Caenorhabditis elegans: one gene and its partner. The protein of the gene in region 1 purifies or fractionates together with the protein of each later gene. This does not show direct contact. Each region holds a gene or a part of one and is shown in the gene's direction. Other genes may lie near its edges.

The links.
Region 2: the proteins of dph-7 (region 1) and ppat-1 fractionate together in Caenorhabditis elegans (co-fractionation; one large-scale study listed by BioGRID). This does not show direct contact.

The regions. Positions count from the first base shown.
Region 1 is NC_003281.10:13,311,364-13,320,960, forward strand, and holds dph-7 (methylated diphthine methylhydrolase), read left to right. Parts: upstream 1-3,761; 5' UTR 3,762-3,770; coding exon 3,771-4,050; intron 4,051-4,095; coding exon 4,096-4,190; intron 4,191-6,020; coding exon 6,021-6,181; intron 6,182-6,348; coding exon 6,349-6,523; intron 6,524-6,928; coding exon 6,929-7,147; 3' UTR 7,148-7,234; downstream 7,235-9,597. Other genes in the region: slc-36.1 (Amino acid transporter transmembrane domain-containing protein), read left to right, coding at 735-840, 893-956, 1,483-1,589, 1,656-1,787; Y43F4B.10 (uncharacterized protein), read left to right, coding at 2,709-2,762, 2,823-2,965, 3,075-3,204; F53A2.11 (F-box domain-containing protein), read right to left, coding at 7,902-8,697, 9,393-9,558.
Region 2 is NC_003281.10:4,687,308-4,694,517, forward strand, and holds ppat-1 (Amidophosphoribosyltransferase), read left to right. Parts: upstream 1-1,972; 5' UTR 1,973-2,037; coding exon 2,038-2,126; intron 2,127-2,326; exon of another isoform or gene 2,327-2,464; intron 2,465-2,750; coding exon 2,751-3,156; intron 3,157-3,202; coding exon 3,203-3,463; intron 3,464-3,698; coding exon 3,699-4,008; intron 4,009-4,056; coding exon 4,057-4,172; intron 4,173-4,467; coding exon 4,468-4,632; intron 4,633-4,676; coding exon 4,677-4,772; 3' UTR 4,773-4,864; downstream 4,865-7,210. Other genes in the region: tag-243 (Costars domain-containing protein), read right to left, coding at 874-903; nifk-1 (RRM domain-containing protein), read right to left, coding at 4,922-5,011, 5,056-5,571, 5,620-5,733, 5,779-5,982; T04A8.8 (Rad60/SUMO-like domain-containing protein), read left to right, coding at 6,698-6,959, 7,006-7,175.

The DNA.
Region 1 (9,597 bases):
TTTTCCTTGCTATTAAATTTTTTAAAAATTACTTTTTAACAATTTCAGATTCTATCAAACGAATTTGGGGGTTAACTGAATAATAATATTAAAAAATCGATTTTTTTCAGGTAAAATCGAACAAAATTCTTCAAAAAGCTGAAAAATTTCCGATTTCTCGTTTTTGACACAATTCAGAGAAAAATCAAAAAATTATATAACTCAAAAAATGAATTTTTTTAATTCGAAAAACGAAAAGTTGGGGAAACTGTACTTTAAAAAAGAGAAGATGTAGTATAAATATGTGGATTTTGTTTAAAATACTAAGAAAATCTCTTTAAAAGTAGAGAAATTCGCGGAAATTTCCGTAAATTCAAATTTTTTAATTTCAAAGTCAAGAAAAAACCAGTAAATTTAGCTGGGTAACGTAAAAATGCAAAAAAAAATTAAAAAAAAACATTCTTTCAATTTTTGAGACTGTTTTCTATCATTTACAGCGAAATTTTCATTCACAATATTGCTATAATTGCTTGGAACAAAAGTTTTTTTGTAAAAAAGGCAGAAATTCTTCTAACAATGCCTAAAAAATAATTTTTCAAAATTACTTTTTTAGCAATTTCAGATTCTATCAAACGATAAAATTAATGTTCACGAACTGGGGGCCATCAATAAAAAATATGTCAAAAAAAAAAATAAATAATGAAAAAATTTTTTTTTTTTTAAATCAGAATAATTTTAAAAAAATTCAATTTCAGATTCTATCAAACGATAAAATTAATGTTTGTGGCGTGCATCATGATCTCCTATCCTCTTCAATTCTATGTGCCAATGGAAAGAATCGAAAAATGGATTACTAGAAAGGTTTTTTGGAGAAATTTCCATGAAAATTGGTCAAAATTCTTCAAAATTTCAGATTCCCGTCGATAAACAAACATTGTACATCTACATTGCCAGATATTCCGGAGTTATTTTGACTTGTAAGTTTCAAAAAAAAAATATTATTCGCAAAAATTATTTTTTTTTTCATTTTCCGTTTAAAAAAATCTAAAATTGACCTAAATATCGATAATTTAAGTTTTTTTGTTGCGGAAAAATTGTGTTTCAAAAATAATAATCAAATAATAAGTTTAGAAAAAAATCATAACAAATTTAGAAAATTTTAATAAATTTTTAAACAGTTATATTTGGTAAATTGAGACTTTTTCTGACATTTTTGATCAAAAAAATAAAATAATTGGTCTAAAAATCGATAATTATACATTTATTTAAACTTTTTTCGCAGAAAATTGTGTTTCAAATCGATAATGAAATAAAAATTGAGAGAATTTCGGTAAATCCAGACTTTTTCTGAGACATTTTGGAAATATACTATAAAAATTGCACATAAAAATCAAAGGTTTTTTTTCAGGTTGATATCAAATAATTAATTTAGACGAGAAAAAAATTATATAAAAATTTAGAAAAAAACTGATTTTTTCTAATTTTTTGAAAAAAAATTTCCAGGTGCAATAGCTGAGCTTATTCCTCATTTGGCTCTTTTCATCTCATTAATCGGAGCATTTTCTGGAGCTTCAATGGCTCTTCTCTTCCCTCCGTGCATTGAACTTTTGGTAGGAATTTTTGAATTCCAATTTTTTTAAATTAATTAAAAATGAAAAAAATTGAATTTTTTTCAGACATCCTACGCGAAAAACGAGTTGAGCACTGGATTATGGATCAAAAATATCGTTCTTCTCACTTTTGCCTTTATTGGATTCACAACGGGAACCTATAGTGCACTTATCGAAATTGCAAAAACTTTTGCATAGATTTAAATATCTATAATATTTAAATATTTTCAGCGTTTTAGCTGGAAATTCCCAGAATTTTATTGCACCTTTATGGAATTTTTTGGAATTTTTTTTTGTATATTTCGTGTCCTTCCTTGTCGGTTGTTCAATTTGTGATGATGATTTTTTCATATTTTTGCGGCATTTTTTTTTCATTTTCGTTTCATTCCCGAATAACATGTACTATTTATTTTGTTAATAAAATTCGAGCTTCTGTGAATATTTTTTATCGAATTTTTTGAAATATTATTTAAATGTGGTATCAATTTTAACCAATTTATTTAAATATCTCGATTCAATTTTATATTACCCAGCCGCAAAATTTTGCAATTTTCACACTAAAAATACGGTACCCGGTCTCACAACGACAATATTTTGTTAAATACAAACGGGCGTGCACCTTTAAAGAGTACTGTAGTTTCAAACTTGTGTTGCTGCAAATCATGAAATTCCGTACGTTTCAACAAAAGTTTGAAATTACAGTACTCTTTAAAGGCGCACACCTTTTCCGCATTTAACCAATATTTGCCGTGGCGAGACCGGGAAAACCGAAAAATTGGAAAAATGTTTAGAAAATTAACAAAAAAAACTATTTTTTATCAAATTTTATTTATGTTAATGAGAACAAATCATAAGAAACAGATAGTTTTTCTCTAAAAAGAGGAAAATTATATTTTTCCAAAAATCCTTTTTTTTTTCAAAATTTCGACAAAACAAAATTGTTTGGTTTTTCGATTTCTCAAAAAAAAATATCGTAAAAATAACCGCCAAAATCCTAAAGCAAATGTGCTCCATTGAAACGTGTTTTGAAAAGAGACGCAGAGAACGGTGGTGTTCCCGTTCTCTGTATTTTTATTGATTTCTCGCAGTAATTCATTCAACCTATTTTGTTTTAGAAAAATGGCGACACAAGAAGATCTTCAAACGCTTATCTCAATTGTGCCGAATCTTCAGGTAAAATATTTAAAAAAAAATCTAAATATACAATTTTAATTGAAAAAATAATGATTTCAGATGCAAGAAGGCACTCCTTATTACGAAGTTCTGCTCAAGTTGATCGAAGAAATCGGGAAAGACGTTCGTCCAACATATACATTCAATAAGTTGACCTGTGAACGGTTGAAGAGGAATATTCAAGCGGCAAAAGTTCTGATTAGGTAGGTTTTTGAGTTTTTTCGTCGATTTTCCACTCGAATTATAAGTGTCGATCAAATATTTGATCGTCATAATCGAGAAATCAATTGAGAGAAAAAAAATCATTTGCAGAGCGTGTCAACAAGAGGCCGAAACAGACAAAAAAAAGGCAGACGCTGCGATCGAAGCACAAAGAGTTGCGCAGAAATCAGAGACTCCGAAGCCTGAAGAGACATCATCGGAGGCCGCCTCGAAGAATTAATCTTGCTTTTTTATATATGTATTTCAAATTGTATTTATTTTTACCATTCCTGCAAACTGGAAACTTTAATTTTTTTGCTATAATTTCCATCACGATCCTCATGGGTTTTAAATTATTCCCAATATTTTTTCCATGAATATGTGTCTTATTCCAATCTCAATAGTTCACCAATGTATAGACTCGAAATTTGGCGGTTTTGGAGCCAAAACGGCGGTATTTGGTCTCGACACGACAATTTTTTGGTTAAATACAAACTAGTGTGCGCCTTTAAAGAGTACTGTAATTTCAAACTTTGGTTTTTGTAAAATTTTTATCGATTTCTTAACGTTATTCGTTAAAATAATACTTTATTTCTAAAAAACTGAAAATTCGATGAAAATTCCACATCACGAAAAATTTTGGAATTACAGTACTCTTTAAAAGCGCACACCTTTTCGCATTTAACAACAAATTGTTTCGTGTCGAGACCGGACACCGTATTTTTGACGAAAAATTGAAACATTTTACGTTTGAAAACCGCATTTTTAGTAAATTTTCAAAATTACAAATTTTTTGAGCTCATTTAAATGCGATCAAAAAGTGTGAAGCTGTCAAATCGCCCAGCATTTGCTCGTCGGATACCATCAGAGGACACATCACGTGCTTGCGTATCCACGTATCTTCTCGATACATCTTCAGACACTCGATCCGGCTCACTGTGCATTTTGAAGATTGATGAAGCCGACGGGCTACAGTTGGAAAATGAGATTAGCACTTCTGCTGGAGTGTTTCGATTCGATTTCCGAAATCCGTCGACGATAGTTGCAGCGCTAACCGATGGATCACTAGTGGTTCAGAAAATTGAAGGTTTGAATTGTGCCTGAGATTTCAAATGAGCAGGACGATTTTCAGAACCTGTATCATCCGAAACTACACCTGTATCGTCGGATATGCTTTTGGATTTGGGACTTTCGGATTCTTCCCTCACTATTACAACTGACAACAAAGTACTGTGATCTCGCCGGTATTATAGTAGTAGTGGTGCAAAGCACCACCAGAAGGGCGCCATGGGCGTCCATGCCTCAGTGAGTTCCTCCAGGGTAGTAGTAGTAGTAGTGGTGCAAAGCACCGCGATGGATCCGTGGAGGTCCTTGGATCATTGAGATCCGCCTGGATCGAAAGTTCTGGTGGGGAGGCCCAGTGCCTCTGCCACCTTTTTCGGAGTGAGCGGGGGTTGGATAGAACATCTCAGCATGTGTTCCACATTCCCTGTGACATCGCCACACTTCTTGCAGGCTGGCACCGTGTCGTTGTTGATTCTCGCGAAATAGCTTGGGACCATGGTTGAGTGACCGCATCTGATTCTGGCTAGCTCCACTCTTGTTCCTCGCGGCAAGGAGCTTTCCTCACCATTTATGGCGGGGGCAGGGCGTCCAAGTACGTTGTTCGGCTTCTTGCTGTTTAGGAAGTTTTTGATGAAGGTTCGGTGGTTGGACTTCTGAATGGCCTTGGTCGTTGAGCGGGGATTTGTCCAGGCATTGGTGGTGCTGCTCGGATAGTCTAACGGCGGCTCTCTGGGCCTGTTGGTCGTCCTCTCAAGGGGTCTTCTTGCCTTTAGGTCTTTGGATGGGTGGCCAGGGGTGTTCAGTGCTGCAATTGCAAATTGCTGCTTGCGGAGCTCAATTTCCTCGCGAAGAGGAAGCCTCTCCGTTTCCTCATAGATGTGCTGAGTCGGAGAATCACTGGTGAGACCACTGCAGGTGCGGAGGGTCGAATATTTTGGTGGGGAGGCCCAGGGCCTCAGCCACCGTTTTCGGATCCGACCACAATTTTGATGGCGTTAGCGGGGGTTGGGTTGAGCATCCCAACAAGTGTGCCACATTTCCTCTTTGATCGCCACATTTCCCACAGGTCGGTATCGCGAAGTAGCCGGGTACCATCGTGGAATGTCCACATCTCAGCCTTGCTAGCTCCACTCTGCTTCACCCTTGGTAGTGATTTCTCTTCCTCGGCCACCGCTGGGGCAGGGGTGCCCAGCACGTTGTTCACCGGTTTCTTGTTCAGAAATTCCTGCACGAATTTCCTATGGTTTGCTTTCTGGATGGCCTTGGTGGTCATTTGAGGAATTTGCCAGTTGCTCGTGGTGTTGCTAGGGTAATCTAACGGAGGCTCCCTTGGCCTATTTGACGCTCTTTCCGTCGGCCTTCTGAGCTTTAAGTCTTTGGATGGATGTCCTGGCGTATTTATTGACGAAATCTGGAATTGTTGTCTTCTAAGCTCAATTTCTTCTCTCAGGGGCAATCTGGTCGCTTCCTCGTAGATATGGTGTGCTGGGGTGTCACTTGTGAGGCCGCAGCAAGTTCTCAGAACTGCTCTGTAGGCGTTATTATCAAGCCAAGTGGTGCCACGCTGTCCCATGACGGTTTGATCTACAAAAAATGCGGGAATTTTATCCAAAAAAAAAATGACGTCAGCACGTTCTTAACTACGCGAAATCAGTTGAGAACCCGCATTTTTTGTAGATCTCCGTATATCAAGTCAAAATGAGACACTCTGACACCACGTGGAGCTCCAGAGACGCAGAACAACGCGCAAGTGCGCTCTACTGCCAAGAATTGGGTCCCAATAGGTAATGGCGGCAAAACCTTAATTTCGAAAAATCACATTAAAAACTGAATTTTACATCAATTTTGTGTCAGAAAATATGTATTTTTGTTGTTTTTTTTTGGCGCCAATACCTAACGAGACCCAGAGGCGGAGCGTTCTCATTTCGCTGTGGAGCGCGCTTGCCCATTTAAACGTTTTTTTCTCTATTTTTTGAAATCAGTTCATTTCAGGGCCACGCGTACATCGTCGACCTGAACACATCACTCATCGTTTCCACGTGGCTTGCTCATTCGCTTCCGTACGTTCCTGGTGAAGGATGTGAAGTATGGTCTTGTGCGATCAGCAAAGATGCTCAGACAGTTGTAACTGGCGGAGAGGACGGATCAATGAAGTAGGTTTGAAGGAAAAACCAATTTTCTATTTGAATTCCCTCCAAAATGAGAACTGCAAACCAATCAGAAGGGGTGGGCGGAGCAAATCGCTGATTGGTCCTGCAGTTCTCATTTTGGAGGGAATTCAAAATTCAAACAGAGGGGTTTTAAATCTTCAAATTTTCAGACTCTGGGATGCTCGCAGCCGAACTCAAACCGGTCAATCAAAAATTTTCGAAGCCGGTGTTGTTTTTGTTGATTTCCCGGCTTCGAACGAAGATCAAATTCTAACTGGAAGCTATGACGAGCACGTCCGGATTTTCGATCGAAGGAATTTAAAAACTGTGCTCAAAGAGAAAAAGGTATGATATATTATGGGAGCATAATATTCTGAGAGTGCGTGTTGCACAACATATTTGACGCGCAAAATATCTCGTAAAAAAACTACTGTAGCTCTTGTGTCGATTTACGGGCTCGATTTTCTCGTAAATCGACACCAGCGCTACGAGATATTCGCGCGTCAAATATGTTGCGAAATACGCAACCTCAGAATTTCGAAAAATTGAACACTATCTGTGCCACGTGCAGGATCTCATATCGCCACGTGTCACCAGATTCTACGTATTCAAAATAAAAAATCCAGGCCTTTCAGGTGCGAATCGACTTTATTTTACCGTCCTTCGCGTTTATAGACCTAACAATTTATTGGTTATTTTGAAAATTTCCCCTAAATTTAACGAGAAATTTAAATTATTTTCCAATTACAGCTCTCTGGTGGAGTTTGGAACATTGAACAAGTTGGCTCAGAGTACTGTACTTCCTGCATGTACGGTGGCTACAGTATTCTGAATTCGGACACTCTCGATATTGTCCACGAGAATCGGGATGTTGGATCGAATCTTCTGTATGGAGCAACAAAAATGTCCGCGAATTCGGTGCTCTTTTGTACTTTTAATGATTATTTGGCTGTTTTAGACGAGTATTGATGAAAAATGTTGAACGCCGGTGAATTTGTTAAATTAGTGATTTTTTGCTTGTTGAATTTAATATAATAATAAAAATTGCGTTTACAGAATTTATACCTTAGTTGGAATTTTTACAAGATGAGGGTGTTAATAATAACAAAAAAATTGTACAGCAACTTTCGCGATTTTTGCGCGAAAAGTACGGTGTCCTGGTCTCGAAACGAGAATTTTTTGCTAAATGCGAAAAGGTGTGCGCCTTTAAAGAGTACTGTATTTTCGAACTTTCGTTGCTGTGGAATTTTTATCGATTTTTCATAGATTTGTTGAGTATTTCCTTTTTTTATAACAAACAAATAGATTTTCAAAAAAAAATTATGAAAAATCGATGAAACCTCTGTGCAGCAGCAAAACTTCGAAGCTACAGTACTCCTTGAAGGCACACGCGCGTGCTGAGACCGTGCAACAATCGCAAAGCTTTGCGTGTGGGTAATATCTGCATTTATTTTTAAAAAAAGTTTATACATTAATTGAGCAATTTTCGGAAAGTTTCAGAAAAAGTTGGGGTAAAGAATTTATAAATTAATTTTAGATAAATCGTTGGCCGAATTGGGCTTTTCTAGGCCAAGTATTTAAAAACAGTAAACTAATCAATTAAATGTTTGAAATGCATTAAAAATCCAGTATTCATCATTCCATCGTGTTCCTTGAAAAACTTCTTCAAATAACGTCGTTGGTAGAAAAGTTGAAAGTCAATTTTCCGATTATTGGTAGAGTTTCACAAACGGAACATCTTTCCATACCAGACAGTTACACATCCAAAAGGGCTTTTAATGGTTTCTTTTGGAATATTGAGAATTTCATCGAGATACCAACAATGTTCAGGTTGTTCTCCTACGAGACGTGCGCTTGAATTGAAAATGTGTGGGACTTTTATCGGAATTCTATCGTCTTCTTCATAGTACAATTTAAATGTGACACTTCCATTTCGCTGTTGATTTTGCTCAGTCAACCTAATAAACTTTGCAAAGACTTTGTGCATATTTTCAGGAGCAATTAGAACATTCGTCTCAGAAAGTTTCACAATCATATTCCTGCTTGGGAAGGCCCTTTGAACATTTGCAATTATATTATCATATGGTGAATAATAGTCATAATCCAACTGATCTTCAATGGTAAGTAGAATATCATCCGTGTATTGTAACTTAATTTCCACACTTTCCAATAAATTAGCAGAAACTGGTTCAATGTTCCATGGTGCAACAAACTGAATATTCACTGGATTCTTGAAATTTTCTGGGCACTCGTGAAATTTTTCTGCCATAACATTGTGCGCTCCGAATCGAAAATTAAGGTTAACATTCTTTGCATTCCAGTTCGAAACAGCCTGATGTGTTATTGTTCTCGGCAGTGAGACAATATCTTTGCCATATAGAATGAATGTGAGTGTATCACATGTAATGGGCATTTTAAGAAAGCGATTTATCGGGAAATACACCATTTCTTCATCTTCTTCATCAGTATATATTCGACGCACTTCAAATTTGTCAGCATTCACTATTCCGTGTAGGTGCCTGAAAAAAACTTACAGTGCTGGTCAAATAATTTGTCGAATTATTCAAATGAGCTACTTCAAAACTAGGAACAATATTCTTTAAAAAGTTCAGCTAACAAAAAAATTACATTATTCGTTCGTTTTCATGTTTATTTAATTTTTAATTTTCATTTTGGTCACAGGGAAAATTGAAAAAAAACGCGATCAGCGGATTCTGGGGTAACTGTTTAAAGCTCCTTCTATGATGCTAAAATTAAATTTTCAGAGGGAAACAACGCCCTAAGTTGACAAGGTGCTGCCAAAGTCGTCATAGCAAATATTAGTTAAAATATCAAACGCAAAAACGGGGATTTTGTTAATTTTTTTCATCTTTTCCTCTGTTTAATAATTTTTTAAAATCTTTTTTCCTTTAAAAATTGTTTCAATTTTGATTTTTTTTTTATTGCTGCGTTGCTGATTTCAAAAATAACTCGTTGAAAAAGGCTACATCATGAGTTATTTCGAATAATTTTAACTGATAAAATACTTTCAAAATATTTCTCTAAATGTTGATTGCTGAGCACTGTTTGACAAATTTAAATTAAAAACAGCCGAAGTATATATAAACCTGTCAATTAGAGCAAGTGAATTCTAATAGGGAAAATACGGTAACTCAGTTAGTTTTAGATAACTTGGAATATCAGCGCTGTGAAGAATATGAACCAAAAAACTAACGGCTCAGCGACTTCGAAAACGTCAAAATTAAGTAGTTGTGATCCATGTAAATCTACACCTTCCTGCATTCCAAACCGGATGCAATGCCTGGCAATCCTCTCGGCTTTTAAGTCCCAACCATAATAACTTAAATCAAACATTCCCGTGAATTCCCTTATTCTGTCTTCTGTATTTAAAAAAATGTTGATAGTTTTTTGATAACCGC
Region 2 (7,210 bases), 8.6 Mb from region 1:
AAAGAGATACGAGCAGCTAAAGATGATTTTTCTTTTCTTTTTTTCTAAAAAAAATCACAACGAGACCAGCTGACTAGAAATAATTTGTTCTGGAAGGTTGATACTTGTTTATCAGGCTTTCAATTTATCAAGTGTCCACTTGAACGTTTCATATATTTTTGGTTATTTGTTAATTTAAAATGAGCTTATATAATCACATAAATATTTTTAAAAATTAATTTGGCAAATGGAAATTTTCTAAAAAAAAATGAATGAATTTTATACGACCTATGAGTTTTTATGAGTTTTGGAACGACTCCCAGACTTTGTTAGGCACGTTTGTATTTCAATGAACTTGTTCTTAAAAAATTTATTACGCGCATCTAGTCTGAAACTATGTGCACACCAGTAGGCCAGTAGGCAGATATCGGGTTGAAAACAGCGAGGAAGGCTGTCGGGTGAACTTGTCCGCCTGATTTGGACTACTTTTTTTTTAAAGCAGAGCTAGAGAAATTATAATAAAATTCAAGAAAAATGTATAGACCTAACAAATGGGAAATCAAGCGTCGGAAAAATTTAAGAAACCACTATTGATGAAACCCATAGCAAAGATTTTTGCGGCAAGGAAGCATAGAATTTAAAAAAAAATTTAAAAACTACTTCTAAACTAGAATACTTTTCCCATTAATATGAGTGGTTGAATCTTGATTAAATATGTGACATATAAGTCACCACAAAATTGAGCAAATACTCAAAACTACTTAATAGTTTTGTGAGTCACTTTTATAAACGTTCAAAACTTTCTTCAAAAATAATTTTCAAGTTCACCTATGTACCTTTAATATTTTCTAATTTACAAAAATCTAAACGAATATAAAAATGGATTAAACTTACATTTTGTTCTTCCACTGATTGACTTGGCATTTTCTTGAGCAACTTCTTTTTTCAGTAAAACAAATTTCAGATATGTGTGCTTAACTTTCAAAAGATATATCCTTGACTGTCTCCTTATTTTTTGAGCAATTTTGATAAGTTTAGCCAAAAAGTAAGTGGGCGCTCATTTTCGCGACAATCTTTGCTGTCTGCGTCTCTTCGTCTCACGTGCAATTTCGCTGTTCAAATATAAAACAATGCACACACATACAGAAAGGCTATTTTTGACAGGGAGCTCAAGTAAAATGGAGAAAAGCGAAGTTGTTCGGAAATTTTTTGAAATTCAAAAACCTAATGTCAACTTGTAAATACAACTGGGTGGTCAATGTTCAATAACAAACAGAGGGATATTTTGATTTTTGAATTGTGTTGGAATTTCAAAGAACGAAAACCATTTTACCAATTCAGATATTAACAGGAAAGTATGTAAAGAATATTTTCGAAGTCCATATTGACAGTTGATAACTGTTGACGTGGGTGAACCTGACCAAGCACATACATCCGCAAAGTTGGGACGGACGGGCTCTACGGAGTCCAAGTGACAACAATATCTACTTTCTAGACACAACATGACACTCTAAAAAAATCTGCTCAAATAAATTGAAGTTGGCAGAAAAAAAAAAATTTTACAGAAAAATGTTGTCAGAAAGTTGCAAAAGTTTGATAACATACTCACAAACCTTTTTCAAACAGGAATTTCATTAGATTCAGTATTACATTTTAAAATTAAACTCTCCAGATTTCCATGCATCTGCTGCGAAAGTAAATTACAGATTCTGAAAGCCGAAGATTTTAGCTCTCGCGCCAGGTTAAGTTTTATTTCATTCACATCTTATAGTTATCGTATTCCCGAGCAACGTGTTTATTTTCAATTAAACCTAAAAACTCCTTTTAAAATCAAACTTCAATTAGACATTCACTTGTTCTTATCAGCGGAAAAAGTTCAAAAACCTGGCTCTATCGACAGAAGTGAACTTTTCCATGAAAAATAGGCAATAACTTTAAAAACATAGCAGGTGGAGGGTGTAAAGGTTTTATGATTGGCGTATCAAACATTCAGAGCATCGAAAAAGATAATAACATGCACATTAGGCAATTGATTTCTGACGACGATCACACCGAACAATGTGTGGTATATTTGGGATTGTTGCCGCTGGAAATTATGAGCATTTGAATGTTCTTGCTGCAAATGGATTGGCTGCTCTTCAACACAGGTGGGGTTTTAAGTTTAAATTTTTAATAAGCTCTGTCTCAAAAAGTTTGATTTCATACATCTCCTACATTGGTTTCAGTTTGAATTTTTAACTGTTCAGCTCCTCATTCCTAAATATCTAATTTTTCAAAAAGCTCTCGTTTTCTCTTCCCGTTCATTCCGCTTCTGCTTAACTTAAGCCATCGTTCCACAAGAAGGCAAAAGTGTAAACTCCCTAATTGTATCCGAGCCAGTTTAGTCTGACTAGACGTCAATGGAGAAGTTATCAATTTTGCGTCAGAAATACGCTGAATCGCCAACATTAGAATCACGTTGCCAATTGGATGAAAATGACGCGTATGTAGAGATTGAACTGGCGTCTCGTGGGTCACAGCAAACAGCGCTAACCACTCGGACACACGACCAATAAAGTGCTTGTAGCGTTGCAGTGGTTGACATTGTTGCAAACAAGTAGATTGTGCAGTGATTTTGAGTTTGCAAAAAATCGAAATAGCTAAATGAATAAGTCTAGCATTTCTTGCAAATATTGTCTAGTTTCTAAATTGTTTTCCGTGCGTGATAGAAAAATAAAATACTAAAACAAATTAGTTGCAAATTTGCAATTCTTATCATGTATATTTTGCAGAGGAACTGAATCAACAGGACTCGTTGGTTCAGATGGAATCACTCGAGACCACGTGGAAATTATCAAAGGTCATGGACTTGTCCGAGATGTGATTACTGAAGATAATATCTCAAGAATGAATGGGCAATCGATAATAATTGGTCATAATAGGTATTCAACTGCAGGAAAGAAGAAGTCTGGAATCAATTGTGTACAACCATTTGTGGTATATACTGCAATGGGTACTGTAGCAATTGCTCATAATGGAGAATTGGTTGATGCGAAACAAAAAAGAAAGGAAGTACTTCATGAAGGTGTTGGTTTATCAACTGACACTGACTCAGAGCTTATTGCTCAAATGATTGCAAAAGCGATTGCTCTGAATGTAAAATGCAAGTATGGACAAGAGATGGGTGATATTACAAGAGTGAGTTTTTGAAAAACATGAAAATTCTTAAACCAAAAAACTTCAGGAGCTCGCAGTAACAATGTCTGCACTAAACATGTCATATTCTCTACTAGTAATGACATTTGATAGACTATACGCAATTCGTGATCCATTTGGAAATCGTCCACTTTGTGTTGGTACTGTATATTCTAAAAATGGAAATCCAGAAGCATTCATTGCATCTTCTGAATCTTGTGCATTTCCTGCAAATGCTAAATTAGATTTCGAAGTGAGACCAGGAGAAATTGTGGAATTATCGACAGGAGGAATCAAGTCGGTGTGGCAGGTAAACTTACATATATCTTGGCCTGCCTACGCGCCTACCTACCGCCTTCTCTGACCTCATTTTCTCATGTATGTATTTTGTTAGACATTAAAATTTAAAAAAGTGTTTTTAAAGTTTTGCAAATACATGTAGTTTTTAGACTTTCTGGTTATTTTTGGTATTTTCCAAAATTACAATCGAGACAGATGGGCTATGCTGAAAAATCAGAAACCTGGAATTATATGAGTCATTTCAGATGAAACCGAATACTCCTCTGGCTATGTGCATATTCGAATATGTCTATTTTGCACGAAATGATTCAGAAATTGAAGGACAACAAGTACAAACTGTTCGTGAAGAATGTGGAAAAACGATGGCTCTTGAAGATGATCTAGAAGCAGATATTGTTGGAAATGTTCCAGATTCTTCGCTGAGTGCAGCAATTGGATACGCTTCTCAGTCTGGAATCACATATGAACCTGTTTTACACAGAAATTCATATGTTGGAAGATCATTTATAGAACCAAATGATGAGATGAGACAAAATGCGATTAAAATGAAATTTGGTAAAATAAAGAAAACTATTTAGAAAGACTTCATGAATTCTATTTCAGGAGTATTGAAGAAAAAGATTCATGGACAAAGGATTGTGTTAGTAGATGATTCAATTGTACGTGGAAATACGATGAGAACTTTGGTAAAAATGTTAAGAGATGCTGGAGCAAAAGAGGTATTACCCTTGTTGTTAAAAATAATGATTTTTCACCTTATAAACCGTGAAAAAGGTCTTGACACGAGCAAAAATTTTCAGCTACCGTATAACGCGAGTAATTCTCCGTTTTTGCAGATTTTTCCAATACATATATTTGTTGTAAAACTGTGCATCTAGATGTTCAGCAAATATTAAGAAAACAATAGCGGAATACATAAAAACGAGAAACTGGAGTATACGGTAGAGTACGGTATCTTAGAAATTTCGATCGTGTCAAGACCGCATTATTCAAATAATACCTCTAAATTTAAAGGTTCATCTACGAATTGCTTCCCCGCCTGTAAAATTCCCATGTTTTATGGGAATCAACATTCCAACCACAAAGGAATTGATTGCTGCCGAAAAAACAATTCCAGAAATCTGCCAATTTGTTGGAGCCGATTCAGTACGGTATCTTTCGGTTGACGGTTTAGTTTCGGTGAGTTTGAACCTCACTTTCTCCTCAATTTAATTTTTTTTCAGTCTGTTCAAAAAGGAATCGAACGAGCTGCCAACTTCTCTCCAGGACATTGCACCGCATGTCTCACTGGAAAATATCCAGTTGCTATCGATTTATAATTAGTGTTTGAAAAGTTTGAATAGATTATTTGTATTCATGAAAAACAAAATCAATTCAATTAAAAATCAACAATGAATGTGTATAAAAATAAGAACAACAACAGTTTGCGGAAAAAAAATAAAATGATTAACAACAGAAATCAGGACGCTTACAAGCTCTTCTTCTTTCCACGAGATCTCAATGTTTTCTTTTCGACAGCAGCTGGACGGGCACTTGCAGCGACGGATTTGAGGATTGTCTGGAAAATTAATATAACCAAATTTTATTTAAAGTTTTTCGTACGTTGGATAGCGTAGATTTAGCCTGTGGAGTAGCAGCAGCAGCTGCCTTCTTTCCTGCGCGAGTTTTTGGAGTGAACTGTTTGGGTTCCGGCTTTTCAGTTTTAGGAGTCTTGATGACAACCTTTTTGGTGACTGGAGTGGAAACTTTCGGAGTTGCTTGTTTTGGAGTCACGGCCTTTGGAGTAGCTGCTTTTGGAGTTGCAGCTTTCACAATTTTCGGAGTCGTGCTTTTCGGGGTGACATCACTGATAAATTGAACCTCATTGTCAATGACCTTCTTAAGTGGCGTTCTTGGTGTTCCAGACACAGAGAAATCATAGTTGATCCCCATATTCTGCAGCTTCTTCAAAGTTTTGTTGAGATTTTGCACGCGTTTCTTGGCATTGATGACGTCATTTTTTCCGGTGGTATTGTTTCTGGCAATTGTATCTTTTTTAGCGATGCCCAAGTAAGATGGACGCATCACAAGCAGTGGGCCATGGCGCATTGCCTTCGGGATAAGTTCTGGTTTCATCACCTAAATTTAATAAGTTTTTCAAGGATATAATGGTAGAAGTTGACCTACCGTGCACCCGAGACGTTGCTCGAACATCAAGTAACCGTTCATTGATTCGGCAGCGATTTCAGCAACAGCCTTGTTGTCGAATCCAACGTACGCCCATCCCTTATGATTACCAGTCTAAAATAATGATTTAATACTATATTAACAGGTTGCTGAACCTACGCGTCTGTTTCTGGCCACACGAATTCTCAACACATTTCCGAACTGACGGAAATACCCGAGCAACTCCTTCTCGAAGAATCCAAACGGAATACGCTTAATCTTGACAACATAAATTTTCTTCAGCTGCTTTTTTTGGACTTTGTCTTGCTTCTGAGGTTGCTTGCGTCCTCCAGAACTGATCGAAGTTGGATTCTGGGCAACCATTGTGTCTGAGATCTGAAAAATGTGTATATTTCGTGCAATAAAAATTTTCAAAACAATATTTTGCAAATTATAAGAGTTTTCAGCTGTTCAAACATGAAAAATCAGGAAATAAGGTAGAAAAATTAGCTTTAAAATTTTGTGAGGGACAAAAGCAGTGTTACTGGCGCGTTTCTTCGTTGACGCAGTTTCCGTGCAAGGCGCATGTTTCGTGCTGAAGCGCACGCACACAAACATTTTTGTTGTTTCGTCGCATTTCTAAACTTTTTCATCCAATCAACCGATTTTTGATCTCTTATTCTTATCACGAAGGTCAATTATTATTCTAAACGGTTTAGACAATAAATACATACTTTCTATTTTCAAAACTCCAATCAGTTCCTACTTAACTTTTCGCTTTTATTCACTGCCTAATATCAGAGGTAGTTATGTACCGAGACGTAAAATTGTTCAATGTTTTTTAAAGTGTTTATATTTATCCTCTCTGTTCGACTCGTCGATCATTGAGTTTCGATGCGTTCTTTCTTAAATAATTACATTTCAAAACAACATTAACGTCTTTCCCGAAAAAGTCATTCTCCTTTTTGCTGTTTTTTAGATGCATTCATTTTTGTGTAGTGATTAATGATTCCCTTTCAATATTTCCAGATTCAATCGTGATATCGTTTTGATCTATGTTAGCATAAATAATCGTTTCCAATTTAGTTTATTTTTAGGAATGAGTGATTCGGACGACAATGCCTACAGCGATTATTTGGGAAATCGAAGAGCTGCTCTCCAAAAGAAGCGACAACCGGTACGAGTTTGTGAGAGCGACGACTCAGACGACGATTTCGATACCAGCGGTCCATCGCCAATGAGAAAAAAGACGCGGGAAACCCAACTCTTTCCGGACGACTCGGATGATGATGAATGCGTTGAAGTAGAGAAAGAAACATACTCCCAAAAAGTCAGACACGAAATTGATGATGTAGAAGAAGGTTAGTGTTATCATACTTTTTTATACAGCTCATACAAATATTTTAGCTTATCGTCGATCTATTTACAAGCGAGAGACCGTTATTCACGCACCAGTCGAGAAAAACAATGTTATTAGTGGACTGTTGAAAATCTGTGAAGGTTGGGACGAAGCTGCAAAATCAGGAGCACAACCGGAGGTTGAAGATGTGAAAGACGACTCAGACGCGGATGAATCAGTGAGAGGAAAAATTGTTTTTTTCTTAAATTTTGC